Linked DNA regions of Arabidopsis thaliana. The protein of the gene in region 4 interacts with the protein of the main gene of each other region in a pairwise test. Each region holds a gene or a part of one and is shown on either strand. Other genes may lie near its edges.

Region 1 (8,028 bases), on a different chromosome or scaffold from region 4:
GGTTGGGCTAACTCTGAGTCAACTCCCGTTCCAACATGTGTTTCACTCGGTGTTGGTCTTGGGGATAAGAAAGGAGCACACCTTGGGTTAGGTGGGGCCACTGTTGGAGTTGTTTCTCTTTCCAAGCCTGGGAAAGCTGACAGAGTTCCTGGCTACTCTGGGTTAGGAGCGATAGCGGATCCAGGATCATTTTTTACCCAGGTCACACATAGCTAAAAAAAAAAAATTGATAAGCCAAATGTATATTTTCTCATAACATTAAATAAAATTCACGTAGATCCGCCGGTGGTTAGGAGTCTCTGGTCTAGGTTGGGAAACTCAAGAAGAATTTGAAGAGTTTGTTGATCCTCCCCCAACAGTTGAAAGTGTTATTACGAGAGCATTCTCTAATCACCCGACAATGCCCCTCTTCTTGGTTGGCTCAAGCAACACTCACATATACTTGTGGGAGGTTTGTGCCTAAACACTTGCACCATCTGTTTTAGGAGTTCGGAGTAAATGATATGACATTTCTTATCTATCCTTGTGGATCTTATAATGCAAACCTTGCATGTTACAGTTTGGAAACGAAAGAGCTACTGCAACTTATGGTGTTCTTCCTGCTGCAAATGTTTCCCCTCCTTATGCTTTGGCGTCGATATCAGCAGTGCAATTCGGTCCATTCGGACACAGATTTGCTAGCGCTGCACTGGATGGAACTGTATGCACTTGGCAATCAGAAGTTGGAGGAAGGAGCAATATTCATCCTGTTGAATCATCTCTTTGCTTCAATGGCCATGCATCGTACGTTTCATGATCCTTGAGTCTATAAGTTCTTGTTCACTAATATGCTAAAAACACATAAGTTTTAAATTATTGCTGTCAGTCATGAAAATTACCATTATTTCTCTGTTTCTTGTTCTATTGGCTTCAGCTATTCTGTTTCTGTTATTTATGGTTGCAGAGATGTAGGATATATTAGTTCGAGTGGATCCATTGTTGCAGCTTCAGGATATAGCTCAAGTGGTGCAAATGTCGTTGTGTGGGATACTCTAGCTCCCCCTTCAACCTCCCAGGCATCTATCAATTGCCATGAAGGTCCTCCAATAATTTTTTTTGTAGAAGTGTTAGTATCATTTCCCATAATCACAACTCTTAACAAGTTTTTTTTTTGTTTTGTCCCTTTTCTTCTATGAAGGTGGTGCACGCTCTATCTCGGTATTTGATAATGACATTGGTAGTGGTTCAATTTCTCCTATGATTGTGACTGGTGGCAAAAATGGTGATGTCGGTTTGCACGATTTCCGGTTTATTGCAACCGGAAAGATGAAGAAGCAAAGGAACCCTGACGGTGGATCTTCGACTGATGGAGATCAAAACAAGAATGGGATGCTTTGGTATATACCAAAGGCTCACTTAGGTGCACACCCTAAAGCCTATTTTCACCTTCATATTCCAATTTTACCGGAAAAATATCCTGAAATTTGATTGACATTGATGCAAATTTCAGGGAGTGTGACAAAAATAGCGACAATCCCACGCACAAGTCTTTTCTTGACGGGAAGCAAAGACGGAGAAGTAAAACTTTGGGATGCGAAAGCTGCAAAGTTGATTCATCATTGGCCTAAACTACACGAAAGACACACTTTTCTGCAGCCAAACTCGAGAGGCTACGGTGGAATCATCCGGGTTAGTGAACCAAATCACCTAAAGCATAATCCTTTCATCGTATTTTCTCACAGTGGCTTTGGTTTCTTAGTAAACCAGAATCAAAGTAATGTCGGTGTATGTAATCGAATTTGGGTATGTGTTACGAATTTGGTGTAGGCTGGGGTGACTGACATACAAGTTTGTCCGAATGGATTTATAACGTGTGGTGGTGATGGCACGGTGAAGTTCGTCAGCCTCGTAGATTCTTCCTATGGCGATGCTAAATAAAAAGAAGATACATTTTCCGGGAAAGTTTTGCAGTCGAGAAAACGAGTTATTGCTACCTTGCGTGTGTTTATTGAATACGTGATTTTTTGTGATGTAGTTTTTTTCTCTATATGGTTTAATATTTGTGTATATACAAATATATTAAAGATTATGAAGCAGTAGAATCTTGAGTTGACCATAATCCAGATTTTAATTTATCTTTGACTTGACTTCAATCTATACTCGGAAATATCATCTATTTATCTTTGACATAGTTTTCGTTGACTTTGTTGCATCAGATTTAGACCAGATTAAATCGGACTGATTCCAATTAGATTGGTGTTAAGTGTAGTGCAATAGAACCGAAAATAAACATTATCAAGATTTAGTTCGTTATTGTAATTTTTTTTCTTTCTTTTTGGTGTTGGTTTGGTATTAGCTCGATATAGTTTAATAAGATTATGAAAAATTGACGGCTAGGAACCTGGCCACTATCGTATTACGTAGTGGAATATTATCTTATGGTTGATTATTAAACTGCTCCATAATTTGTGTTGTAGTCTTGTAGACGAAATGATATGAATCATCAAAATGTTTGATTAAAACCCCATTTGCCAAGAATTATTCCTAAAACTATTAAGTTAAGGCAAAGGTCCATTTCATTAATAATTATTCTAAAGAAGTTAGTTGTATATATAGTATATATATAGACTATGGTGTTAATTATGACTGAATATATTAGTGCTCACATAAAGCATCTTATTAGAATATCTTAGATTGCTTAAATAATTATTAACCACGTAATAAATAAATCTCATGTAACACTATCAATTGGAGAATAATGGAGAGAGACAATTAACCATAATGACTTGAAGACACTTGGCTTCACCTAACATTCAATTTCCTAGACGAGGCCACTATTTACATTCTCTTTACCTAACTTTCAGAACTACATTAAACCAAATTGACATGTAAAAAACCTAATTTTATATTTTCAACATGTCTATTTACCATTGGCCACTTTATTACTTAAATGAAAACGATGTCATAAAAAATATTAGTAGACCCTAACTTGAAATTTAAAATTTAATCGATCATTTAAAAATCAAAATCATTCGACGCAATTACTACAAGATTTTTATGTTTTAACCAAACATTTATGACGTAATCTACCATCGCGCGTAATCGTATAGTGATAACTGATAAGATAAAAGGTCTTATCCGTTAAAAAAGGAAAGGGAAGCCTTTTTTAGATCTTCTTTTTTGTCGCCACGTGTAATTAATATCTAATCGAACGGCTGTCAGGTGAAATCTATGGGCAAATCTGTGGACTCAAATACTCATTAACATAACTATGGGTCCTCTCAGAAAACGGTGCCGTTTTGCGGAAGCTTGCGTGCTGAATGACACAGAGACTAAGAAAACGATAATAAACTGCAAAATGATTCAAAAGATTTTAATCGAAAGCAAACAAAAATTCTCTGACAATCAGAAAACAAAAAAAAATCAGAACAACTCTTATCTTCTTCACGAGACTGACTAAACAATCATAGATTTTTCCGTTTTTTGGGTTTCGTCTGGTGTTACTCTCTCCTTCTGGTTAGTTCTTTTTTTCCGAATTCTTACAAATTATTGCGGTTTCATTAAGATGAATTATGATTTGGATCACCATCCGTTGTTTTTGTGTCCGGTTTTGATTCTTAGGTCTAATCGCGTTTCATGTTTTTTTTTTGTGTTCTTCTGGGTTTGATAATTTTATAGTTGAAGTTTTATGAAATTTGATTTCAATTGCAAATAATGATGATTTGTTTAGTAAGTTGATAAATTGACAAAGAATCTGGCTTTGGTTTTTGTTTGCTTCTAAGAAAATTAGGAACTAATTCTTCAATTTACCTGGAAAGCAAAACATATCAGATTCTCTAAAAAGTAGTTTTGTAATAAGCTTTTTTGGTGATGGATCTGTCGGCAATCAGAAAGATTCTTCCTTTGAAATAAATGATTCATATTATTTTTCCTATAAATAGATTCAAAACGGTTAATAAGATTTTGCTAAATCTACCTAATTTCTAAATCACATTGATCTTGAATTGAATTCTCAGTCTCTTGTCTTATCTTTAGAGTTATGGTGAAATAATGGCAGCAGCTGAAGCAAGAGCAGTGTGGCAAAGAACAGTTAATCGTTGCTTTGTCCAAGAAGACGCTAAAAGAGCTCCCAAGTTAACTTATTGCCAATCATCTTCATCCTCAACTGCTTCTTCAACTAAGCAAGTGGAAGTTTCTGGTTCTTCTCCTCGAGTTTCTGTTGAACCACGGACTCAATCATCTTGTGCAGGTTTCATGCCTCTTCCTCGAAACCCGAATTTCCCTGATCTGTTACCCCACAACACCAGACTGTGGAGTCATCCTCATCATCAGTTTCAGGTGAATAAGAAGCAGCCATTGGAGGATGAGGTTAACAATCAAGGTGTATCTGAGAAGAAGTCTGAATTGGGAGCTGGAGAGAAACAAGGAAAGTCTTTTAATTCCGAAAGCTTTCAAGAGTTTATAGAGTTGATGGAGACAAGGGAGAGTTATGGTTCAACTGGGTATGATGAGTCCTCTGAGAAAAAGTTAAGTGAGCTCTCTTTTGATCCTAGCTCGCCGTGGAATCTTCTCTCGAGTGAGAAAGCTGCACCGTGGTGGCGAACTACGGATAAAGACGAGTTAGCTTCCTTGGTTGCACAAAGATCTCTAGACTATGTTGAGAATTGTGATTTACCAACACCGCAGAAGATGAAACGATCTTATTATGGTAGTCCACGTGGTTTTGATTCTGATGGATTGAGAGACTACTCTGTCTCTGGCCAAACCATCAAGGGTACAAGCAAAGGAAGCAGCTGCAAGAACAGACCCGAGGCTTCATCTGAGTCTGATTTAAGCAAATCCGAGCTTCTAGAAGCACTGAGGCGTTCGCAAACGCGGGCTAGGGAAGCGGAGAATATGGCTAAAGAAGCTTATGCAGAGAAAGAGCACTTGGTGAAGATATTGTTGAAGCAAGCCGCAGAGCTTTTTGGGTATAAGCAATGGTTACAACTGCTTCAGCTAGAAGCACTTTACCTCCAAATCAAGAACAAGGAGATTGACAATAAGAACAACGACGATCCAGGGGTTTCCATCCCTTGTTGGAGCAATGGCAAAGCAAGAAAAGAGGGGAGAAAGAGAAGAAGCAAAAGGGGTAAACCGAATGGAGCAAAGTACGCGGTTGGTTTAGCATTGGGGATGAGTCTTGTTGGTGCTGGTTTGCTTCTTGGATGGACTGTTGGATGGATGCAGATGCTATCGTTCTAGTTTAAAGAGAAGAAAAGAGACAAAACTTCATCTTTTTTCTCATTGAACAGCTTGATGATGTTGAAATGAGTTAAAAGATTGGCTTCGAATCAGCTTTTGGATTTCGTTAAGGAGAGAATGTAAATTGTTGTAAGAATTTTGTTAATATTGTGTTTACTAGTTTGATCTTTTCCTTCAAAAATCATATGAAATTATCTTCTTTAATGTGTAAGTAAGTATCTTTCATGTTCATGTAATATCTGCATATATTAACTACTGTACAGTGTATATGATCTTTCTTTCATGTTCCTAGAGCTTCGATTTCTTGAAAATTTAAAATACTTAGTAATTTTTTACTGCTGGAAGCAGAATGAGAAAGAGAAAGATATACAGTATATATATTTTTTAATTACGGCAAAGGTGATTATAATGGGCCGAATTGCGAACATTTGGGCCCAGTAACCCGACCCGACCGGAGATGATCTTTAATTTCGTTTCAGGTGAGAAAATGGTTTACTCAGGAGCAACTATCAATCGAATCAGACATTGACGAGGAGCTTTGGTCGTAATCCGAGGAAGAGATTAAAATCGGAAAGTGCGAAAATGCCGGTCATGGAGAAATTGAGGATGTTCGTGGCGCAGGAACCAGTTGTGGCTGCTTCTTGCTTAATCGGCGGTGTTGGTATGAACCCTAATCTCAATCTTAATTCCTCACCGATCGATCGCATTCTCTTTCTTAGAAAAGGATTTGCTTTGGGATTTATCTAGTTTCTGGAATTCCTCTTTGAATCTATAGAGCTAGTTTGCTCGATTGTAATTTGAGAATATAGAGAAATGCCTGATCCAAATCTCTCTATTCGGAATCGTCATTTCTTTGGGTTGTCAAAGAGAGTGTATTTTAAGGAGTTGAAATTAAGCTTAATTTGGAACCATGTCTTCCATTATCTCCATGTATAAGTAGCAAAAGATTATGTCTTTCTTGAACATTAGCAAAAGGCAATTGTGTTAATATACATTTGCTGATGGATTCTCTTCATCTTGTAGGACTATTTTTGCCTGCGGTTGTGAGGCCTATTCTAGACTCTCTCGAGGCTTCCAAACAAGTTAAAGCTCCTCCACTTACCGATGTATGTATTAGAATATATTTATCTCTGTGGAAATTCCTTTTGCTGCTAAAATCGTCATCTATTTCCTATCTAATGAAATGTCTCTGATGTGGGAACTCTGCATGATAGTTGTTCTTAGTATCCGTGTAGGCGAATGTTTGGACGTTTCTTTTTTTTGCTATGTGATGTAGCCTATACATCATCTCGATGTTTTGTTCCTCCTGCGTCTTCTTGTGATTTGAGAGTTCCATCTTTGGTTCATCCATGCCTTAAAAATCTATGCTTTTCATCATTGGACGAGTGTCATGATCACATTTTGTTACTGCCAAAAATGGATTGGGCATAAAAGAGACTAGTTAGTTATCACATTGCTTAGTTATCCAACGCTTTCCTATATACTCTTTACAGGCAAACAAAGGCGTCAAGTATTAACTCAGATCCAATTTGCTTTTGCAGGTGATTGCTGGTGTCACAGGGAAGAAACAGAGTTAAAACAAGCAATGACTTCCCCTGTTTTCTTACATTCAGATGATCCCTATTCCTTTTTTGTCTTTTACTCTCTCTATTCACAATGAATAAGCCAGACTCATTTGTTTGTTATGAAACTTAATATAAAGGCATGTGTGTACACTCACTTTTGTTCATCACTTGATCAGATGTATTCATTTCTTAACAACAAATGAAAAAAGCTTGAAACTTTTCTTGCCATGGCTCATGAGTCTTAACAACATTATATATGCATATCACACAGATATTAAATTACAGTAAAATTGCTAATCTTACATACACTCTTAATAGCTCTTTTTCATCATCTTGATCCCTCAATAGATAGATAGATAATGCATATTGAAAACAGGCTTAAACACTTCCACTTCTCATCTTCTTGTTCTTCCATGGCATTGCTAGCTTCAATCCCTTGCATAAACTTCCCTGCATTTCCCCAACCAAACCCGTTTCAGCGAAAGACAAGACTTGGGAAGATGAAGAAGTTATGAAGAAGGAGCGGAGAAACACAAATACTTTACCCAAAAGTGAGATCCTTTAACAGAACCACCACCATGGTAACTCCCTGATCTGTTAAACTTCATGATCTTCATGTTGTTCTCGTTGATATTATCTCCTGCTCTCTGATTCTCCGACAGAAAGACATAATTACCCCTCACAACAACATCCCCTCTCCCTTTCCTCCTCAAGAACCTCAAGAGCCCATGTTTCCTCTCGGGCAAGGGCATTTGCGTGAACTCACCAGGAAGGAGCAAACGAGGTGGCAAATCAAGACACTTGGGGTAAGAAAGAGGACGAAGAGGGTGCTTGGGCTTGCCTGGTTGGTCTTCCCAACAAAACGGAACAGAGGCAAGAGTGTGAATCGGAGAAGCAAACACACGTGGACTCGCAGGCGATGAAGTGTACAACAACGATCTTGACTTTGCAGCTAACACAAGTGCAAGCTTCGCCTTCTCTTCTTCCTTGTCTCCTCTCATTTTTATGTCTTCTCTGTTTCTTTCTTTCTTCTTCTTCAGCTTAGTCTTAGGCAGTTTCTTTTTAGGTAGTGGGAGAGTGAAGAAAAAAAAGACAATGCATTAAATATATCTCAAATCATTTGTGATTATTAATGATCCAACGGTGGTTTTTTACTGTTGACTAGATAGACAACCATTCATAAAAGTCAATACTCTTTTGTTATTAGAGGAAATTTGACTGACCACGTCACCAAATAATA
Region 2 (8,946 bases), on a different chromosome or scaffold from region 4:
CCGAAAAGTTCCTCTTGATAACTTTTTTTTCTTTTTAATAATGTAGATTAATATAATTTTCGTTAATTATGTTTTAATGAAAAAGATTAATTAAACAAACTAATCAAATGTGTTAATTGTAATATACACAATGATACAAAAAATATGAAATAAGTTTTTAAAAATATGTGATATTCCAACAATATTCCAACTTTTCTATAACATCAGGTAAATATTTCTTCACCTTTTCATGTCAACATTTTACAAGAGAAGCATAAAACAAAACAAAAAATCCTCTCGGCAACCATATGCCTTTTAAACTAATGAGGATTTGTACTTTTTTTTTTTTTTTTTTTTTTGGGCACAAACTAATGAGGATTTGTACAAAAGCTAAATGAAAAGAGCTACAAAACTAAGCCCATAGACATATATCTCATGAAGCCACTCCAGATCACCTGATGCTACATCAAACTAAGAATGGTTTTAATTAATATATGGGCCTCAGCTGAGGAAACAAAAGCCCATTAATTTGCTTCAATATTGGTTTACCCGTTTATTCTACATGCCACGTGGAAGAATATGAGTGGTCACGATATTATAAAATGCGTCAAGGTAAACAACAAATAACAAACTCGTTTTCGAGCAAAAAAACTTTGAAGATTGATTTGAAGAAGAAAGCTCTCTCTCAGGTTCTTGTTCTCAACCAGACATTGATTTCTTCGATTTGCATATTTCCCTTCTTCGTCTTACGAATTTTACTTCCTTTAGCGATGGATTTGATACTACGTTGACTTTTATCTTCCTTTTGGAAATGGCAGCGTCGTCTTCTCTTCTTCTTCTTCTTCACTGTCCCACCTGCAATTTCTACTTTGACTCTTCCTCGTACCTTAAAAGATCGAGACTTTCGAGCTATAGTTCGATTATCTCTCGTGGGTCTCCTTTGTTTGTCTCTAGCTTTGGATCTATGACCGTTAAAAGATTCTCTAGCAGAGTCGGAAGCAGGAGCAATGACGGTAACGAACAATTTGGAGCGTTGGAGCAAGAATCTTTCATCAACAACTCATCGGAGATACGGAAAGACTTGGTCACCGGCGGTGGGATTGAAGCCATTGTTAATCGTCTGGTTAGTTAATGGAAATCTCATTCATGCACGCAATGTGTTCGATGAAATGTTTCTTCAGTATCAATGTGTGTTTCTTTCTGACCGGTTTTAATTAATGATGACAGAGCAAATGGGTTGTGTCTGTTCTATTTGGTTCAATCATTCTTTTGCGACATGATGGTGCAGCCTTGTGGGCAGTCATTGGATCGATTTCGAATTCTGCTCTCTCTGTAGTTCTTAAACGTATACTTAACCAAGAGAGGCCTACTACAACATTGCGATCTGATCCCGGGATGCCATCTTCTCATGCTCAATCCATTTCTTTCATATCTGTCTTTGCTGTTTTATCCGGTAAGCAGCTTAAGCTGTTCACTACTCATCGTTCGCTATCGTGGAACTGTTTACAACGGATTCACTCGAGTCGTGTTTTCTGCAGTTATGGAATGGCTTGGAACCAACGGTGTGTCTTTGTTTCTTAGCGGCTTAATCCTCGCATTGGGTTCATACTTTGTAAGTCTGTTATAACAAGTTTCACCTAATTGATTCAAGCTTTTCATTCATATATGAAATCATTTAGTTGCCATTGATCTCACACTCTCTGCACTATCACAGATACGGTTAAGGGTTTCTCAAAAACTGCACACAAGCAGTCAAGTGGTGGTGGGTGCCATTGTTGGTTCTCTTTTCTGCATCTTATGGTACACAATGTGGAATTCGCTTCTTCGTGAAGCCTTCGAGGCATCTCTATTAGTGCAAATATCTGTATTTCTGTTTGCAGCTACATTTGCGCTAGCTTTCGCAGCGTACGTTGTACTTAACTGGTTCAAAGACGAGAGATAAGCAATACCAAGCTTTACTTATAAAGCTTAAAATTGTTATCCCTCAAATTCTTTTCAAAATATCGAAATGAAGGATTCAGAGCCCGTTTGTTAAAATCAAGATTTTAAAAAATAAGGTTTCTTTAAGATGTAAGCAAGGCAAGCACCTTACACTAGAGCTAACATTGAATGTTAATAAGAACCAAACCGAACCAAATATTAGTGACTGTGGCTGCCACTCATCAGTATGCCACCGCAAGAAAAATGTGTTTGCAGCTACTCGGAGCTATACATCCTCTTGAGAACAGTTAAAACAATAACCAAATATGTATATATTTCTATTCACAAGGCGTACGCTAAACGTCCTGTATCTTTATTTCTCTTGCTTGCATCAAACCCACTACGTATACAAGAGACTTACTTAATCATTCATCCTTAAGAGATACTTCAGATGATGGTTTGGCTGCAGGAATGTAAGACCATGCCAATGCCGCGCTTCCTAGAGTAATGGTTGCTGCAATTGATCCCCAAATCCATCTCTGCCTCTTCTTTCTCTTCTGCCTCTCTCGTCGTGCCACCTCTGGTATCAACAGAGTTGTGAGATTAGATTTTTATTATACGATAGAAAATGACAATGGATAAATTTGGTGAATGAGAGTGATTTTCTACTACCTATGGCTTCTTGGTTTCGTTGAGACATCTCTCTGTTCACGGCCTCGTAGTAGTGTAGACGGTCAGACAACCGTGTGATTTCAAAGTTCTTAGTTTCGAGCATAGATTCCATCTCCATCTCTACCTCGGCCTTTGCCATACCTCTGCCTAAAGAGTCAGAGACAAACCTCGCAATCTCGAGTTGACAGCGTAGTTCTTCTGATAGATTCATGTTGTTGGTGGAGGCGGTAGGATCAATAGGAACGAACAGACCCACCTGAGCCATCTGCTCACGGAGTCTCTGCCAGTGAATTTGCATCTGCTCCAAAGCCTCCTCTGTCTGTTTTCTCTTCTCGATTTCCATTAGTAAACTCAGCCTTATCTCACTTAATTCAGATTCGATGTTATTAACTGAACTCTGCATTCCACTGTCGGTTGATAGTTCTGAAAAACCAAGAAATTAGATGGATTACAAAATACTAAATAGTTCCGAATCATAGAGTCGAGTTAAAGCTTAACTTTCAGGATACTTTGCAGATACTCATCAAGGGAAATGAATAATGCATTAATCATCATGATTTGGAAAGATAACTCATCACTTTCAAATTTCAATATATCCAGAAGAAAACAAAATTCCAAAGCATGACAAGGCGCTACTACTGCATATTAAAGAAAGAATACCCTCAAATGCTCAAAGGTTAAAAAGAAGGGACTCTAAAATGTGACTAATCATATTATCCTGGGAACGTTAAGATCATAAGCATTGACAGCCATCTCATAAGGAAATGATTAGTAAGAGAATAAGATTTAGATAAGTACCATCCCAAGCATCATAAAACTCTCCCACAGGTGTGGCAAGTCTTTGTGAACTTTCGTCCCCAGCATCACCCTCTACGTCTGTGTTACTTGTGAAGCTTGCTGATTCACCTGGGTCATAGAAATCTTCTGACTCACTCTCCTTGTCTGTTTTAATAGGGACTGGCTCAGACAGACCATTTACCCGTTCTAAACCATTAGCAGCGTTATCCAACTCTGACTTCCCATTCCCACTTTTCCCATCAAGCGGACTCCAATTTCCAACAGGACCATCAACAATACCATCAAAATTATAGTTTCCAACCGTACGAGCATGAACTCCATTGGAATAATCATCTTCAGTAACCTCAGTGATAGGAAACGAGAAGGAAGTGGACCTCCTCCGAGGGGAAACCTTTACATCTGTTTCAGCAGTAATAGTTTCCTCTTCCAGCGTCTTCTGGTGGGAAGAAGACACAACATTAGCCTCAGAAGAGCTTTTAAGAAGACGTGGAGGTCCACGTGATTTGTGGTTGATGATATAAGGCGACGGTGGGAAAGACGATGGCGAATTAGGAAGCGGAATCGCATCAGGTGTGGCGTAGAGAGCAGGTGACATCAGAGGACGAGTAACTGTCCTCTCATTAGGTAATTTACCTTTACCTTTCTCCAGTTTTGATATCGGTGGCTTTGAATAAAACAAATTAGTTGTGCTTGGAACACTCTCGACAGACGTGGAAGCCCCTGGCTCTAGCATTCTATCCAAAGCAATAGCAGAAAAAGTAGGCATGGCTCTGCAATCATTCAAGTATCAAATTAGTAATAAAAAAAAACCGAAACCACAAAGAGCGTTTCTTCATTTCAATCGAATCAGAAATCAACCAACAATGGTCATTCGCATAAGTGAGAATTAGCTATTGGGAAGGTACAAAGCAAACACCGCGTGCTCAAACCACAATCATCGGTATACCTAAACAAAACTTGATTCAATTCTCGCACGAAAAAAAGAAGCTAGCAAAATCAAATCACAAATCTGATAATCTAGAAGCTAACAATAGGTCAAGCCGATGAAAATGAATCGAATCTCTCGAGATTCAGACCTACCATAACGAAAATTTCCAGAAATTTCACCGAAACAACAAACAGAGAAAGGTGAAAACATCAAATCCGGAGGCGTAAGAGAAGGATTTACCTCGAGCGCGAAGGAGATCTCCACGGAAGAAAGCTGAGGAAGATTCAACGGTGAGAGATCGAGGTTATACGGAAGTAAGACGACGGCGGAGAAGATAAGAAGAAGCGTGATACGACATCGTTAAGAGGAGAGGAGGGAAGAAGAAGAAGAAGAAGAAGAAGAAGAAGAAAACCTCTTCTCCAAGGCTTTTTTTATCTCTTCTCAGCTTTGTATCTCCGCAAATATTTGAAACGCTCTGTTTTTTTTTTTTCTTCTTCTTTGCTTCTTCCTCTATTCTTGGCGACCCATTTTCTGATTTTCTTCGTTTTATTTTTATTTTTTTAAAACGTGTCTTTGGGAGACATTTGGAAAGACGGATATAACCTTTGACGGTAAGAGTTACAGCAAAGGACGGCGCTATACAATGAAGGGGTACTTTGTGTAAATAAATCGACGGTAGGGTTTCGTGAAGTGGTCGAAACGACGTCGTCCAAGGGATCTTGTTTAAGTGGGGTCACATCTCGAATATTCAGAAACGTCACTAAAACGGTGACGTGGCCTAAAAAGCAAATTAACCCATGGCCCAATTTTTGTCTGTTCACGAATCTGTAAAGCCCATTTTGAAAACGATTTTAAAAGTCTTTTTTTATTTTCTTGTCTTCGTCAAATCTGGGATTTTGATAATATTTTTAGAGCCAGGTTTTTCTTAAACGTGTTACGTGACCCATGTGAACACGCTTTTAATAAAGAGCGAGTATTCAAACTTGGTTAACAATATAGTTTTAAAAAAAAACTGGTCTTCACAAGAAATATGAGACTATGATCATATCTATTTTTTTCTCCTTAATATAATAATATTTTATTCGTAACTTTATTTTTTGATGAAAAGGGAAAATCAAATATGCATCTGTTACTGGAAATTTTGAATTTTTCTTCACTTTATTTTGAATTTGTTCTCACTTGATTTTGAATTCTTAAAATAAAAGCTAAGGTGGGAAATGAAGAATATAGAACATGATTCAAAGATATCAGCTCTGGGACCGCTTCTATATTAGCAACTACTACGAATTGATTCAGTTCATATAACATATCCTTTTAAATAAGAAAACCAAAATCAACTTTTTGATCATATATTAAAGTCAAGACCCTTGAACTTATCTTATTCTTCACGGAATCTCCATGAGAGTGTACAAAACACTCATCAATTCGTGCAAAAATGACTAATACATTGTTTGATGCATCTTTTCGAATCGAATCAAGGATTGTTTGGCTTTCTCATAGATTATATATTTGGAAAAAAAAGACGATATACAAATCTTTTATTCATTTTCCTTGACGAATCTATCTGTAATGAATCACTGGTGCGTTAGAACTCGGATCCCACACACCTCCTTCTCTCACATACTCCATATACCTAGCAAACTCTGGTTTCGCCGTTGCTAAACTCTTCTTCTTCGCCGTATTCTTCTTCTTTCTTTGAAAATGAACGTCAAAGAAACTAAACAAAGGATGAACAGAACCACCGGTTGGTTTCGCTGTCGGTGTCTTCTTCACTTCTTGAACCGGGTTTCTTGAATGACCATAAACACTAGCCGGAACGCTAGAGACCCTCTTCAGTCTCGCTTCTTCATCGCCGAGCTTTTCGTAGCCACCATGGATTTTCCTTGTGCTCATGGCTCTAAACATGGTGTGATGTGGTGTGGAAAAAAAGTGGAGTTCCTTTGTTTGTGTTTTAGGTGAGTTCTTGAAACTTTCTTCGTGATGGTGTTGATTTAAGTAGTAGGACAAGTTTGCTTTGTGATATGAAAAGGAAAATAGTAGATCTGTTTGACTTTTATTTTAATTATTGTTGTGTGTATGAGATCTCCAACTAACTAAATTAAATTTTTGTATATGTAATTAATAAAGCATGTGTTAGTGTTACACCCACATGATGTATACATCTTCTTGTTCGTCCCTATTAAATCGCCGGTCAAATGTGTGTTTATGCTGACTATTACGTCTACATCTTTTAGACAAATCAAATGGACAATGGCTTTAGAGTTTAGACTAATCTTCTTTGTCTGATCCATATCTAACAATATATTAATCATGGAAAAATCTAAATTTGGGGTAAAAGTAAGCAGAATAGATCTATTCTAGAATGCTAAATCTGCTCCTTACGATGGTTTAACATCAGACTGTTATCATGCATGTACATGATTATGAATCAGATTTTTCAAACAAAATCAACTTTCTATTCAGACAGAAAAAAAAAAGTATGAATCAGAATTTTAAAACAGCCATTTGAAGGATAAAAAACGCTAGAAGGAGGGGTCGAACCTCCGACCTTGTGGTTAACAGCCACACGCTCTAACCAACTGAGCTATTCCAGCTAATTGTACTAACCATACTTGTGCATTAAATTATTAATTACACACGTTTTTCCCTCTTTATTTGAAGGTCCAATTTTATCACTTTGTTCAACCACAAATTAAGTAAAAGAAAAAAATAATCCCAGATACAATATAAAACAATCAAAACATACAAGATTCCACAGATTTATACTCAAGATTTTGAATAATTTGAAGGGCAAAAATTATATATAAAAGCAAAACAGGATTGTAAAAATTTATTTCACTTTTATCAGATCATCAAACTATTCACTAATGTTACTATTGTTTCTCTTCATTGCTTGCTTGTTATTATGCATCCAAACCTTAAAAACTTGTCTCCTCAGATTCACCATCCTACAAAACTTATCAATCTCTTCTTCATCTTTCTTCTGCATCCTCCACCCTAATCTCTCTGCAAATTCCTTCATCTTCTCCTTTTGTTCTTCATTGATCTTTGTCCTCACTCTCTTCTTCTTCCTCATCATCATCATCATCAAACTTTTCCCATCAACGTTTTGGTTACGATGACTCAGAATCTTCTTCATATCCTCGCTTGAAGATGAAGTCCTCCGTCCAATCTCACCCGTTGGATGCATTACACGTGGCTTGTACGAGCTGTTACTGCTGTAAAACGCCGGAGTTATCATCAGCTGATGATCTTGTTTACTGTTCCTGTGTCCGTACACTTCTTTCCGGTGGAAGCTCCGGTGACAGTTACAGGCGGCGCATTTTAAAGCACCGAGTGTACCTTCTTCTCCGCCGGCCATGAACTCGCAGCATCCGTCCACCACGTGTCCTCCGGTTGAGGCCGCGTGGTTCTTCTGACATTCCCGGTACTTAGCTCCTTGGTCGACACGTGTCTTTGGTTTTTGGTTTTCTTTCTTGATCGGGAATAAAGCCATGGATGGATCTGATTCGGGTTTGGCTTCTGGTTCCGGATCCGTATGTGGCTTTACTTCTGTTGAGATCATTGTTGTGGTTGTAATTGCATTGCATTTTCCTCCAAGCTCCATTGTGAATCTGACCCAAAACAACAAAACTTTGTTAAATATTAATACTTATAAATCATTCAATAATGCATGCAAAAATCTCTCCTTTAATAATTAATAGACGACTTTTGGACTCACCTTAGGGATTATAGAGATGCTGCTTATTGTTAGAGGGGAGGAGTAGTGGAAGATGAGATTGATATTGATGATGAAGAAGAAGGAGAAATAGAAATTAAGGATGATGATGACGTATGTGTGTTTGTTTCCTATCACCCATCAAGTTTTATTTCACATGAGAATCCAACAAAAATATTGATTTTAAAAACACAAACCTACTAGAGAGAGAGAGTGTGTGTGTATGTGTGGTGGTGCCTCTTAATTTCGAGACATTGTCATATGTTTGTTATCTTTCACCACCTGCACCTTTGGTCCATCTCCCATTATTGCATTTATCTCTCTTTCTCTCTATTTTCTTTTATGATGATTATTGATGGTGTTACTAATTAATGTATGTCTGCAAAAAAACCTAGCTTAGTCAAACTATTACCTACTAAGTACAGACTTGAGGAGTGGAGAGAGAGAGATAAATGAGAGGAAAGTTATGGGATTATTTTAAATTAGTTAAATGGGTTAGTTTTCAAAACTTTTTTCTAATGTAAGTTAAAATTATGTCTTATGTATTGTTAGTTATAAATTTTTAGGACTATGATTTTAAGTTCTAACATATCATAAAATAGATTAAAACTTCGAACAACAATGTTTGTCAATCCTTTATGCTGTCATAATAATAGTAGGAGTATCTTTATTTATCGATCTCCACAAATTCTTTGATCAGATTTATTGTGATAATCAATGAGAAAATAATACTCTTACTATCATTATGAGAGGTATTTATGGTTTGCATGGAGTTAGAAGTTAACTACTATAGCTTCAATTTCCCATACAAATGGAATTAGGGTTTCTAATAGAGTTGTTTAATGAAATAAGCTTTAACAATCAGAGTTTAATGATAGTCTTGAAAGAGAAGACATGATAAATTATTTTTCTGGTGGGGAGGGTTGAAGAA
Region 3 (7,296 bases), about 11 Mb from region 4:
CAAATTAAAATATTACAACAATACTAATATTCAGGTAAATTTATGTATTTTTTATTTTTATTTATATGTATTTTATTTATAAACGTATTGTTTTGTTAATTAAGATTATGTGTAATATTTTAATGTATGTTTTAGAGTTATTTATAAAAGTTAGATTGTTTTAAAATTATTATGAATAATATAAGGACTATAATGCAAAATACACATTTTAAAACCTTCATATTTGAAGTATACTCTTGGAGAAGAAACTACTCATACTTTATATTTGAAATTTACATACTCTATATACGAAGTATCTCTTGGAGATGCTTTCAATTAGTATATCTCTAAAAGTTATTTACTTGTCATGTAGCAATAGTGATTATCTGTGAAAATGATTTACATGTAAAATGATATGTTTTCAGGTATCCAATAAAATTATATATTTAACCTCGTATAATTGTAAAATTTAAATCTGTTTATAAATCTTAGGGGGTGAACCCAAGTATTTTTCATAAAATTATGTCTCTCATACATACAATTTTAAATTTCTACTTCACATTTATTTTGTTGAAAATTATATTTATTTAATAAACTTAAACAAAATCAATTCATATTATGTTCGTACTTTTTTATTTCAAATTACAAATTTAACTTGTTCTTTGATCAAAGAAACCATCATATGATTTTCCAGCTATTTTAAATTACAAATTTAGTTTGTTTTTTGTACCGACTCATAGAAATAATTTTAGATATTGGTTTCTTAATCACAGAACAAGTTATATTTGTAAAGTAAAATAAAAACTACACAAGATTTTTTTTTTAAGATATGGAAGTTTTGAAGTTCACAAGGAAGAGAAAAGTTAAAACCTTTCTTACAAAAAAAATCATGGTATTTAAACCTATTTTTAACATGATATATGAATGATAAATATATAGATGCATGCATTATGCATAACATAACTATGCAAAACATGAGCAAAACATATGCATATGAAAAAACTTTTATATGCAAATCACATCACCTAAAACATGTTTAGCATTGTGAACATCATGGAATTCATTCATTATGTAGAGAAATAAAGAAAAAAGCTTATTAGAGATTATACATATTTTAAGGATATCAACTAGTCTATTAGAACATAATATTACTGCCATGAATGGATGGAAGTAAGGCATATTCACTCCAAATTGCTGCATTTCCCTATGTCGCTAGAATCAACCATATGGAAAACTTTTCCACACTTTTCCACATTTGTTTTAACAAGCGTGTCAAATGAGATTCTCAACTAAAACAAAGACTGATTATTCAAACTCACCACAAAGGTAAAGAGATGATGTGCTTAGATTGTGATTGTAACGAGGCAGCACAAAATTCACACGAACAAGGTTCTCATGGCCAATGAATGATTGAACAAAAGTTAATGTTGTGAAGGCGATTGCCGTCATAACCAAAACCTTAACTACATACACAACAACAATTATAAAAGGATCTTTTGAGCTATTGGTCATACTCATATTCTTTGATTAAAGAAACCGTTATATAATTTTCCAGCTGTTTTAAATTACAAATTTAGTTTGTTTTTTGTTCCGACTCATAGAAATAATTTTAGTTATTGGTTTCTTAATCACAGAACAAGTTAAACTTGTAAATTAAAATAAAAACTACACAAGATTTCTTTAAAAAAAAAAAAAGATATGGAAGTTTTGAAGTTCACAAGGAAGAAAGAAGGTAAATCTTTTTTACAAAAAAAAACATGGTTTAAAGTTTAAAATATGTTGGAATGTATTCATGGTTTCACATAGTCTAAATTAAAATGATACAATATAGAGGAATTGTTAGAAATGCTTCTTTTATATTTCTCTTTTTAAAAATACTTTTTTCTAGCTATTCTTTTAGTTTATATTTTTCGATGACCAAAGGTTATAAATTTTACAAGTTTTTCTAAAAAAAATAGAAGTGTAAAAGTTTTGCTAAGTTTTGACGGTCTTAAGTGATTTTAGTTTTGGGCTTTTGTATATAAAAGAGTAAAATATAAAAATCAAAAATCAATATTATACAATTACAATTTAATTACATTAGCTAACTAAACTGTATAAACATTCATTATCTATACAATAGTATCTCTTTTTTTAAATTATATATATATATATATATATATTGCTTCAATATAAGTATCTGAAACTTTAATACACATTATTACATAATATCATTATGTACTTTTGTTATCATCAATATGTTTTCAACTATACACCTCCTAAATTTAAATCACAACCTAGAGATGTTGTGGTGGGTAAAAAAGCCCAGCCCGACCTGAACCCGAAATAAACCCGCCCACCAAAAACCCAACTTTAGAAAACTCAGATGGGTTTTTTATTTAGTGGGTAAACCCCGAAAAAACCCGATTGTTCCGAAATATATTTTGCTTATAAATATATTTTAAATTATATTTATTTTCTGTATTACATATATATTTGATGGGAAAAAGGTTGAAATGTTAAATTGCGTTTTTTGGCGGAAAAATGTTAAATTGTGTTTTTGGCGGGAAAAATGTCAAATCCTTTTCTTGGCCGGAAATGTTGAATGTCATTTTTGGCCGAAAAATATTGAATATCTTTTTTGGTGTGAAAATGTTAAATTCCGTTTTTGATCGGAAAATGTGAAATCTTCTTGGCGGGAAATTGTTGAATGTCTTTTTTGGCGGGAAAATGTTAAATTGCGTTTTTGGCGGGAAAATATGAAATCATTTTTGGCGGAAAATGTTGAATCGCGTTTTGGCGGGAAAATGTTGAATTGCGTTTTTGACGGGAAAATGTTGAATATCGTTTTTGGCGCGAAAATGTTGAATGTCTTTTTTGGCGGGAAAATGTTGAATGTTTTTTTTGGCGGTAAACTGTTAAATCGCGGTTTAGGGGAAAAAATGTGAAATCTTTTTTTACAAGAAAATGTTGATTCACTTGAAAAAGGACTTAAAAAAACCCGTGGGTACCCATAACCCAATGAGATAAACCCATATGAGTTTTATTTATTTGGATACCCAGTGGGTTTTAACCCATCATTAACATCTCTATCACAGCCTTTTTTTCTTTTTATAAAATATATTGCACTGTGATAATTTTAAAATACGTCTGTTATAAAAGATACAAACACACATACAAATACACTTCATATAAATACTAAAAAAAAAAAAATCCTCAGTGTAGCGAGAGTCCGATCCTAGTTACAATTATTAGACTACTGAAATGCTATGATATTATATTGTTACCAAACTTCGAATATCCACTTTAATAACAGTTATAAAAATTGTATTATCGTAATGTGTTATCAATACTTATATTTTTTATAGTGTAAGAATAGTGTAGGAAAATACTTGTTTATATTGGAAGTCAAAATTAAATAAAAATGACATAAACGATACTATGAGAAGAAATCAAACTGAGTAAAATGGGCATAATCCAACTATTTTGTGAGCCGATACATATGACAATTTTCGATCGCTGAATCATGGTTTGGAAATATGTTTGATTACTACTCTCTCTTTCTCGGTCAAATTAACATCCGTAAGAGAGAGAAAATTATTCAAACCCCTAGGTTTATGGTGTACTTCGAACCTAGCTAGACTGGGTATTTTGACAATTTCAGTGTCCTAAAATATCTTCTAATAGTAAGAAAATGAAAATGATGGCAAAGAAAAATCGAAAATTTCATGTTTTGACAAAAAAGAAAAAAAAAAAAACTCTTTTTAATCCTAACTAAGTAAATATTAATGTTTTGAGAACTGAGCATTTTATAATCTTTTCCAAAAAGGCAACTATTAGAGAATATTATCTGCTGAAGAAGTCCCACAAAAAAAAAAAAGATATAGAAGCCATGACTTCGTTACTATATTACACATGAAAGTTGCATCAATTCCCTCTCCCTCTTCTTCATCTTCCTCTTTCTCTCCATTATGGATTTAGGAACAGAGATAAAATCAGACACAAGACAAGAAGAACAGAGACATGTTTTCGAAGATTACCCTGAACCTCTTAGATACACCGTAAGTATCACTTTTACATAGTAATCAATTTCTTCTTCATATATAACTATCATCTTCTTTTCTCAATACATATATTTCTTCGTCTTCTTTTTATTGTAGACATGGGTTTTGCGAGTTTCTATCCATTGTGAAGGATGCAAGAGAAAAATCAAGAAAATATTGAGCAAAATCGATGGTAATATATAAACTAAATCTAACGTTTTATTCTTTTTCGATATTGATTAACTAATTATGAGTATTTATATGATTTTATTTTAGGTGTATATACAACAAATATCGACGTGAAGCAACAAAAAGTAACGGTGATCGGAAACGTAGAGCCGGAGATTTTAATCAAGAAGATCATGAAAGCCGGTAGACACGCCGAGCTATGGCCAACGTCAATGGAGAACAACATTAACAACGATTGTAACTATCAGAAGAAACCAAAGAAAGATAACGAAGAAACTAGTGGAGATGAAGACGACGACGAAAACAACAACAACAACAACGGCGGAGGTGACGTCGGTGGTGGAGGTGGTGGTGGAGGAGGAAACTTTGATCAGGTTAAACAAGTTGTTACGTTTGTAAACGGTCAACTTCAACCACAAGGAGATGGAGCTCCGAAGAAGAAGAAGAAAAAGAAAAAGAAGAAGAAAAGCTTAGGGAACACGACGGTGGTAATGGAAGGAGGCGGCGGCGGCGGTGGCGGTGGTGGTCCTCCGCAAAACGATGGACCGCCAGAGACAGTGATATACTCAGCTCCACAAGATCATCACATTATACACGGACCACCTCCTCATCTACATCATCATCAGCAGCAGAATCATCCGTATCCAACGGTTCACAGTCCTCCACGTCATCATCCACAACAAATGTACGGGCCGGGTCCGGGACTGCCTCCTCCTTCGTTTTATCATACTCAGCCTCAAACGGCGCCGTCTTATACGGTGAGTTACAACACGGTGCATGGGCCAATTAATAACGGTGGGAATGAGACGGCGTCGTATTACACGGCTCCTCCTTCTCATCCGACGTCATATTATTCTTATGAGTACGTGGACACTGGCTACGAATCTCCACCGCCCGAATTTTATTCGTATAGATCTCAACCGTCGGAATCGTTTGAGTCACTAAGCGAAGGCAATCCAAACTCTTGTTGCGTTATGTGATTTTGGAAGTTTTTTTTTACTGCTTTTAAGAATCAAATTGACATAATTGGCCTTGGAATGGCATCTTGTAAGTGTTATTAGAGGGGTATTTCGTAAACAATCAACAAAGAACGATATTAGTAAGTAATTTAATCCAACATAAAAATTTATGTATTTCGTAATTTAGCTATCTTTTGGTAAATGAAATGCGAAAATGTACTTCTTTAATGGAAAATTCAGCTATTCATGGGCTTATTCTTTCTTTTTCTTATAATGGTGATTTTTATAATTATTTTTTATTTTCGTCTATTAGATTCGTATAATATAAGCGGTTTATATTATACAAATCTAATACGCGATAATAAAAAATAATTATAAAAATCAACATTATAAGAAAAAAAAAAGCATAATGATTAGGAAATATAAATTGTTAACATATATTGATAGATTTAAAATGACATGATTGCAACAACAAAAAAATTGTAGTATGATTTAAGTATACATTATGATCTACGAAATTTGTAATACCTAAGAAAACATACGGTTTTCATATAAACCAATACCCTATACGGAAGTGACGTGGTGAAGTAGTGTACTATTTTCGAATATCATTTTTTGGGTGCAAAATTTAGAATAACATTTGAGGAGAATAATTGGACTTGGAGAGGAATAAATCTTTTTCCGAGAGAAATAAAAAGAGAGATTTTTGGTGAAAGGGAATAAGAATAATTTGAAAAGGAAGATAAATATGAAGAGAAGGCATATTTAGAAAGCATATTTAATGACAAAGAATATGTAAATAGTGTCCACAGGGAATCGAATTGTTAAATTGGTCTTACATGTTTTAATGTTATACAAACTATATTATATATTGTACTTTTTCCCTAATAAACAACTAACGTGTGAAACTAAAACCGTTAATTACCTATATATACACATGATGTAAACATGTCATTGATACTTTAATTCTTGAATGGTTAAAAGAGAACCGACCAAGATTGAGAATCTGATTCTAGTTAGTAAAACCAATCCACGATAACACATATAGATGTGAAAAGAAAAAAGTTTAAAATTATGACATTATGTCATCACTTAAAGTTATCGTGTGATGGCATAAGGCTGGAAAAAATTGTATGACTATGATGGCATAAACACAAACTAGATTACATTATAGATTATGGTATAAATTGTTCGTGTTTCAAAGAATAGTTATCGTTGTTATAATCAATATTCATTTAATCACATGCATTGAATACTTGCACATATATAACGGTCAATTTTTGTAGTTTTTTTTTAAGTTTATCTAACCACATTTAGTTAGTGTCCGTAAACTAAACTATAAGTAAATTTCTAATCCCCAATGTTTTTCAGTAGTGATACTATTTAGTGTCCGTAAACTAAATTGTATATTGTTTGATGCAACATATTAATGTTGGCATGTCTCTTCAGAGATTCTTTTTAGTAGAAGTTTCATGTTTCTTTCGTAGTAAAAGATTGACATTTTTTGACCTAGATTTATTGACTGTTATAATTGTGTTTGACCAAAGTGTGGAAAGACAAACAAAAGATTTGGAGTTGATGTTGATGTTGTATATGTGATGTTAAACATTAGGAGGCTGAGACCAAGCAGGGGAAATGTTAATATTTACTAGCATTAGTTAACGGGAGTTCAGTACCCATTTGCGGGTTAGGATCGAGTTTTCGGATTTAGAGATATAGAAATCGTTTGGGTAATTCTAGATTTTGCGTTTGGATAGGGTTCGGATTCGAATTACTCGAAGTTCCCAAATATCGTTTTTTATAACCAAATATATCCAAACTACTCGAAAGTACAAAAATATCTAAAAACCTTGAATATTTTTATCCAAATTAAATACCCAAAAACATCTTAAATATCCGAAAATCCTAATATTCTGACACTAAGATTATTACAAATATAAATATAAATAATATATGATTACTATGTATTTAAATTGTGAATTGTTCGGTTATCCGTTCGAATCGGGATGGTTCGGATTTTTGAGTTTGGAAGGATTTTGGGTTCGGTTTCAGATCGGATATTATGCCCCACCCCTACTGTTGACCCATATGAGGTATTGGGTTTTGTAACACTTGTAATTTTTCTTTCTATATTATTATTAAGTTTT
Region 4 (7,059 bases):
GAAGTTGTTGAATAGAGTGATTATAATGCGGGATCGGATACGGTTTCATAGGTTTGAAGATGGGTTGTGTTCTTGCAGAGATTATTGGTAAATGAGTTATGCTACAAAAGCTCTCTATCTACATTCTTTGTTCTCAAACTCGCCAAAGGAACGATGAAGAAACTGAATATTACAGGAACTTTTTAGCTGAGTTTTGGTCCAGTGAACTTTCAGTTTTGATGGTGCACTGCATTGTGTTCAAGCACGATGCTGACTGAACTATCTTAAAGTGTTGGGAAATTGTTTGGGAATCTTAAAGTTTTAGGGACTAAATTGGAATAAAAGTGTAGTAAACTTGGTGATTTACTATTTTGTCCTACTCAAGTGACAGCCATGGGTGTCAGATAGGAGGGTATAAGGGTAAAAATGAAAACTGTTAGAATTAGGATAAAAATATCCGACCTGCCGGAATCGAACCAGCGACCTAAAGATTTTCTGTTGCAAACAACTACAGTCTTCCGCTCTACCAACTGAGCTAAGGTCGGATTTACAATCTAATCAACTTTTTAACATTATAAACCTTTCTTAGTATTTTGCAAGAATTCTTTAATCAGCTCATCAACCTCTTCTTAAGAAAAAATTCTACTATTAATTTTTTTTTTTTTTGTAATTCTATAAAATTCAGCTTCATAATAATATGCAAAAGCTGATATTTTATTCACAAGCCATATGAAGAAAACACATTGATGAAAGTCTCAATTTTATTCTTGATTTTAACAACATCACAGGTTGTACCCATCCCCTTCTCTGTTTTCAAGCTATGATTTATAATATTTTGGCTCTCTTATTATATCATTGACAAATTAATTTGTTCTAGCATACTTCATTACCCTCCCGGCTCCAAGCTAGGTGACTTGATCATGTAGCGTTGGTGCTCCACACGAGCTTGATATCTTCTCTCTTACTTCTCGGTTTTGGCCTTTGGAGGAGAAGCACAAAACCTTCTCTACCATTTGTCTTTCTCTTCTAAATTGGTTCCACTATAAAACCCATTCTTTATAATTTATTTCTTTTGTTGATTAACTAATGTAACATTTTTTTTAAAAAAGGACCATGACCATCAAGATGGATGTATAATTCTCAAGATCACAAATACAAAGCTTATGTTGAAGAACCACGAAAACCTAGAAAGTTCATAGATCCATATATATATATATTAAAGTTTCATTTCCCATCAGCAAAACCCTGATTGACCAGTCTTGTTCAAAAAGACATGAGAAAACTTGAGAGAAGAACAAAAAAAAAACATAAATGAATGAAAAGGTATTATCGTAAACTATGTAATAATAGACCAAAAATCTCCTCATTTTCTTTCGCATCTTGCAAGTACTGGAACCTTACTGGATTTGCACCAAACTTGGAACATAAGAACACATAAGTAGACACAACCTTTGGATTTTCTAAGATCCACTTCTCTGTAGTATCCATTCTCTCCGAGAATGTAAGTTTTGTAGTTCTTACACGTTTCTATGTCTAATTCACTAACCATTGCTACTTTCTTCTTCTCGTCGACGAGGAAGAAACTCAAATCTTCAAACCAATAGCTGTTAGGCAATGTCATATCAACTTTTAAGAACTTGCTCCACAACACTATATTGAGCTCAATCTTAGTTGTAATCCATATTCCCATCTCATACGCATCAGACTTCTGAAATAACACTGCAAGCTGCTCTTCTCTAACAGTAGATAGAAGTACAGTATCCTCATGACAACAGTGAAATGGAAGAGGAAGACTCGGTCCAAATCTTTCACATGTAAAATCAAAAGAAAGTAAAAATGCTTCCTCTTTCAATATGTCATGAGCAATAAAGTAAACATTACCCTTCAAGGACACACGCTGATTATCTATTATATGGTCTTGGTCGGTATTGACATCAATAACCGTCCACGCATCAGACTTAAAATCGTAGATTTCATACTCACGGTACATAGACGAAAACCATAAGATTTTGTGGTTGTTGTTGCTGTCGTATCCCATATAAAATCTGCCAGCTGGTCTATGATTAAACCTGCCAGCTGGTCTATGCTTATGCGAGTTGTTTCTAGGTTGGATCCACCTGGTTTGACCCAAGTAAGGGTTCCAAACCATGAGCTTCGAGTTATCCTTAGGGTTGCATAACAACAATAATAATAAGCCATCACAATGAAACACACTATCTATTTCGACTTGATTAAGTTTACCTATTTGCTTTATAGATGGATCTGCCAAGTCTTTGTGATTATGGAGATTGACGCTCATTAAACAAGCCTTTAAATCACATATCATGATCACCTGAATCTCCTTGGCTTCTTTACCATAATGGTTTTTTGTAAAGCTCGAATCTTTGGATAAATCATTCCATTGTTTACAAGTTAATTTCACTGCTTTCAAAGATGTTATTGGAACCCTAGAGAGTATCTCTTCTACCAAATCCGGGAAAAGATCAGACATCGTCGACATTTTTTCAAATAGAGATTAGGGTTTTCTACTTTCACGCTTGCCCACACTACTTTTTTTTTTGTTTATATATACAGTAAAAAAAAATTGTGAAGAAAAATAAATACTTACGTATAGGTGTATAGCCTTTTAACCAAAATAAAAGGACGTGATTTACATTTTTTTTTTTTTTGAAATATTTCAGTAAAATTGTTGCTACTAAATTAGTTTTTCTGTAAGACATTTCAAGTAGGTAAAGTAGGGCGCTTAGGCTGGCTGAAAACAGATAAAGGATTGCGTTAGCCTAACTTGGTCTGTTCATCGCGACGAGGAAGAGCAGCGGCAAAATTTTCTAGAATTGATTCAGCTTGCTTCCAATTCCGTATCTACTAGATTCTTTCAACATTGAGTTTCTTTCATTAGGTCAGCTCAAAGCATAAAGGTGTTCTTCATATAAAAGACATTAAACCAGATAGTAAACCATAAACTTAGGTAACATTAAATCAGAATATAAGACTTCTAATACTCGTATTTCCCATTCTATCATGTGCTTGTGACCTCTATAACATTCTCAATGAGAGAAGCATCCATGTGAACTTGAGAAGCATGAAACTGAAATCACAATGAACTTCTGGTGGTCATGGTAATATGACCCATAACGTTCATTACCACTTAAGCAAACGATCTTAAAAAATCTCTAAATTCGTTTGATTATATAATAAGACTAATTAATCTTGTTTGATATGATCATAAAGCGTCTTAACATCATCGCATCAATGTTTGTTTGTCTATGATTTTTCAGACAATTTAGAAAATAATAAAAAAAAAATAAAAATGGAAATCTGACGTGGCGAGTGAGAGGGCTTGTGAGGAGCACACTCTTCCACATCTTTTTCCCACTCTTCCTTCTTATCACTTTCCTCTTCTCTCTTCTCCTCTGATCCCACCACACTTTTGAACTTTCACTCAATGGCGATGCAGCTTCCTCCGACGACACTTTACGCCGGAAGATCCTCCGTGGTCTTACCTCCGACGACTCCAACCCTCCAGAGATCATCTTTCTTGCCTTATTACTCGATGAGGCTACTCGGAAACAAGAAGTCTCTTTCCAAATCCTCTGCTCCTAGATTCTCCATGCGTGTCTCCTCTAAGCAAGCCTATATTTGCCGTGATTGCGGGTCTCTTTCAATCTTGATCTCTCTTTCTCTCTTCTTGGTTACCTCTAACATACAAAGTTTGTTTATTTATCTTCTTCTCTTTGATTTTGCAGGTATATTTACAATGATAGAACTCCATTTGACAAGTTACCTGATAACTATTTCTGTCCAGGTATCGTGATTCATGTTTAAAGAATCAACAAGTTGTAGCTATCACTAGTTGGGACTGTGTTTGGTTTCAAATGGGTTTAAGGTTTTGTTTTCAGTGTGTGCTGCTCCTAAACGGCGGTTTAGAGCTTACATGCCTGATGTGAGCAAGAATGTCAACGACAAAGATGTGAGAAAGGCTAGAAAAGCTGAGCTCCAAAGAGACGAAGCCGTCGGGTAAAATGATCCTCCTTTCTCATCAATCTCACATATTTGTCACTTTGTTTCTTATAGTTATCTTATGGTAATCATGCAGGAAGGCTCTACCTATAGGAATTGCAGTTGGGGTTTTAGCTCTCGCAGCTCTTTACTTCTATGTCAATAGCACCTCATGAATGCAGTATCAAGAGAGACTACACTCTGCTTTTGGAATCATTTTTTTGTTCTGTATAAACATTCATCTTCGACTTGTTGACCACTACTGTAATGAAGTAAAGTATTGAGCTTTCTATGTACCAAAACTATATTGAAAGTGGCTGAGATGAGATGAATAAAGAGGCTAAGTGTGATACAGAGAAGATCAGACAATAGAAAAGGGGGTGCAAATTGGCTAGTCTTGCAAGATGAGGGACCCTTGGATTGGTTTATCGATAGAAGATTGATAAAGGATGTTCAAAGCAGACAAGTTTTCGTTGATGCTCGATGATGTCGCTGGCTTGAACTCGTACGGACCTTCCTTTGGTCCCCAAACCTGCCATGTCCCAATACCAAAACCCATTTCAGATGAGCTTTTTTGAGAATTTGTTGGTAGTAACATCTTTAAACAATCCAATAAGTGTAAGGAAGTTGGGATGTACCTGGTTTCGATTCTCATCAAAGCCGCGATCCCAGAGGTGTATCTCATTGTTTTTCAGAACTGCAAGATCTGAAGTACAATAGCTAGCCCCGTTCTGCAATCCAAGAAAGAAACGTCAAGTGTTTTCGTGTGGAAGCAGAAGAGTGTAAAACAAATAAACTGTGATTTTTCTTATAAGAACATTACCCATGAATTTGGAAATCCACCAGGTGAAGTTGAGCCTTCGTACAAGCAACGTTTCCCACGGTCACAACAATTCAGGTGTATAGTCGTCAAATGCTCTCCAATGTCCTATTAGTTTGATCATTGTTAGCTTGATTTCCAGTAACCAGACATCTCTCTATCGATACAAAACCTTAAGACTTACACCAATAACTTCTTCAGGAAGTGGGCGTTGGTCCTTAGGCCGGTCACAGAAATTTTTGTATTCCTCAGCATCTCTGATCGCATATGAACTTACCTGAAATAACACTGCGTCAAACTCTCGTGCATTAGAATACATAAGAAGATCTCAACAACTCAAACTCACCTCAACATCACATTTTAGCTCTTTTGGACACGGTTTCACCATATATAATCTCTGCGACCAAAATCAGCCCAAGATGCATAAGACTTCAGCAACACAATAATACAGTTTCCTAACTAAATCAACCATGAGGGAATGATTACATACTTGTCGAAACGGTTTCTGAGGAGTCCTCCAAAATGCCTGAAGAAAAAAGAGAATATCTTGTCTTAAACATGAAGAAAGAACACATTTATACATCAATCACCATAACACAACAAAGAAGTAAAATATGGGTCACCTGTTCGAGATACAAAACCTCTGAACCATCCACCATTTCAGCAGCTGGACAACTCAGCATTCTGCACAACCATTTCAAACTCAGAATGCTAGAAACAAACTAGAGATAGAGATATAACAGTTTCAATCTTGAAACAACTTCAAAATGGAGCATCATGGTCTAAATTCCACTAAAGAGCATCATAAGTTTGAGATAAAAGAACATCACAAAACCTTATGTTGAAGTAATTATCAGGATCTCTTGACGCTTGCTCCCTCGTAAACTTCAAAACCCAATGTAAACAAACTTCTCAATTCATAAAAAAAAATCAGAATTTCATAGTTCTGAGTAGAGGAAACCAAAAGTGTAAGCATTGAGATTGTGGGTTTAAAAACCTTCTCTCCGGTGAGAGAACGAGAGACGACACGGGCGTGATCTCTACGAGTGGTGGATTTAGTGAGACGCTTGATGAGAAGAGCACCGCCAATTAAAACCAGAGTCTTGACAACTAGACCACGAGCACGGCTCCACCCGTTTGAGCTCGATTCTGGATCCGAACCCGACTCGGTACCCATTAAAAGGTTTCGAATTTAGTTCAAAGATTCCATCTTTAGTATCTCTACTTGTTTCTCAGGAGCAGAAAATTTTGCCGATTAGAGAAAGAGGAAGAGGAGGAGGAGTAAGGTTGTGACGATCGACGTTTTCGCCTCGCCGAACCAGTGGTGAGATTGTTTGCCACGTGTAATCGTTTTTTAATTCTTTTAGTGGATTGAAAATGAAAATTGTTATTCTTCTAATTTTTATTTAAATTTCTTAAAACAATTGGTAATAAAAACGAAATATTAATAAAAATTATTTAGAAATAATTATAAATTGAGATGATTTGAGTAAATTTGAATTTATTTTTGTTATGAGATTGTGAGTACAAAAATAACAATTTTTTTGTATTTTGTTTGGAATTAAATTGCGCAATTTAACTGTATAATTTTTTTTCCAACCAAAGAATTTTGGATATTAAATGTCTAGATAAAATATAAATGAGAAATTTTTTGAGATATATTTTCTCAGTTAAAAGAAAAAAAAGTTAATGACAATTATATCACTACGAACATATTGATAAACCAAAAAAAATGATCAAGAAGAAAAATAAATTATATTCATAGAGAAATGGTTTCTTCATATCGATTCTTGTAAATATAGCAATCAACTAAAAAACTAACTTCAATATAAACTCTTGTAGAACACCAAACAAGTCTTATCCAATCTTTTCCTTAGAAACTGATCTCACGTCTCTCGGCGAAGAACTTTCCGGTGATAGCTTGATCAGGAAGCAATGCAAGCCAGACTCCAGTGTCAGCTCCATCTTCTGCTGAAACGTTCCCTGCATAGCCTGTCATTGCGGTTTTCACCCAACCGGGACAAAAACAGTTTGCATATATCTTCTCTCCCTCTGGTCTCTCGGATAGTTCTTTAGCTAGTACTCTTGTGTATGCGTTCACCGCCATTTTGGAGACAGAGTAGTCTGTGAAGGAATGTGGCCAACCTCCAGATTCCCATGTTCCTTCTTCCACTTGTTTCAAAAACTCTGATACTGTTTTGTCAACGATTTCTTCAGTTAGAGAGTCCACATCCATAAGCTTGGCTCTCACGTCTTCATTC

What was found.
Region 1: the proteins of AT5G51010 (region 4) and AT2G46550 interact in a two-hybrid assay, tested with the Arabidopsis thaliana proteins (one large-scale study listed by BioGRID).
Region 2: the proteins of AT5G51010 (region 4) and AT3G50910 interact in a two-hybrid assay, tested with the Arabidopsis thaliana proteins (one large-scale study listed by BioGRID).
Region 3: the proteins of AT5G51010 (region 4) and AT5G27690 interact in a two-hybrid assay, tested with the Arabidopsis thaliana proteins (one large-scale study listed by BioGRID).

The regions. Positions count from the first base shown.
Region 1 is NC_003071.7:19,109,459-19,117,486, reverse strand, and holds AT2G46550 (uncharacterized protein), read left to right. Parts: upstream 1-3,280; 5' UTR 3,281-3,495; intron 3,496-4,014; 5' UTR 4,015-4,029; coding exon 4,030-5,223; 3' UTR 5,224-5,526; downstream 5,527-8,028. Other genes in the region: AT2G46560 (transducin family protein / WD-40 repeat family protein), read left to right, coding at 1-201, 278-451, 560-783, 944-1,077, 1,178-1,399, 1,490-1,668, 1,807-1,917; AT2G46540 (fiber), read left to right, coding at 5,806-5,884, 6,247-6,329, 6,765-6,800; AT2G46535 (uncharacterized protein), read right to left, coding at 7,167-7,238, 7,334-7,789.
Region 2 is NC_003074.8:18,915,378-18,924,323, reverse strand, and holds AT3G50910 (netrin receptor DCC), read right to left. Parts: upstream 4,998-8,946; 5' UTR 4,538-4,997; intron 4,140-4,537; 5' UTR 4,136-4,139; coding exon 3,370-4,135; intron 2,995-3,369; coding exon 2,572-2,994; intron 2,480-2,571; coding exon 2,325-2,479; 3' UTR 2,023-2,324; downstream 1-2,022. Other genes in the region: LPPepsilon1 (Phosphatidic acid phosphatase (PAP2) family protein), read left to right, coding at 791-1,102, 1,207-1,432, 1,518-1,591, 1,694-1,921; AT3G50900 (uncharacterized protein), read right to left, coding at 5,858-6,202; HB28 (homeobox protein 28), read right to left, coding at 7,155-7,904.
Region 3 is NC_003076.8:9,799,867-9,807,162, forward strand, and holds AT5G27690 (Heavy metal transport/detoxification superfamily protein), read left to right. Parts: upstream 1-3,780; 5' UTR 3,781-3,929; coding exon 3,930-4,019; intron 4,020-4,118; coding exon 4,119-4,194; intron 4,195-4,277; coding exon 4,278-5,170; 3' UTR 5,171-5,400; downstream 5,401-7,296. UniProt on the Arabidopsis thaliana protein: Heavy-metal-binding protein.
Region 4 is NC_003076.8:20,741,191-20,748,249, forward strand, and holds AT5G51010 (Rubredoxin-like superfamily protein), read left to right. Parts: upstream 1-3,362; 5' UTR 3,363-3,424; coding exon 3,425-3,633; intron 3,634-3,725; coding exon 3,726-3,784; intron 3,785-3,878; coding exon 3,879-3,996; intron 3,997-4,075; coding exon 4,076-4,154; 3' UTR 4,155-4,369; coding exon of another isoform or gene 4,370-4,510; 3' UTR 4,511-4,513; downstream 4,514-7,059. Other genes in the region: AT5G50990 (Tetratricopeptide repeat (TPR)-like superfamily protein), read left to right, coding at 1-91; AT5G51000 (F-box and associated interaction domains-containing protein), read right to left, coding at 1,343-2,479; CRL (crumpled leaf), read right to left, coding at 4,370-4,510, 4,617-4,709, 4,802-4,906, 4,983-5,075, 5,145-5,195, 5,289-5,324, 5,422-5,482, 5,634-5,683 and 1 more; AT5G51030 (NAD(P)-binding Rossmann-fold superfamily protein), read right to left, coding at 6,672-7,059.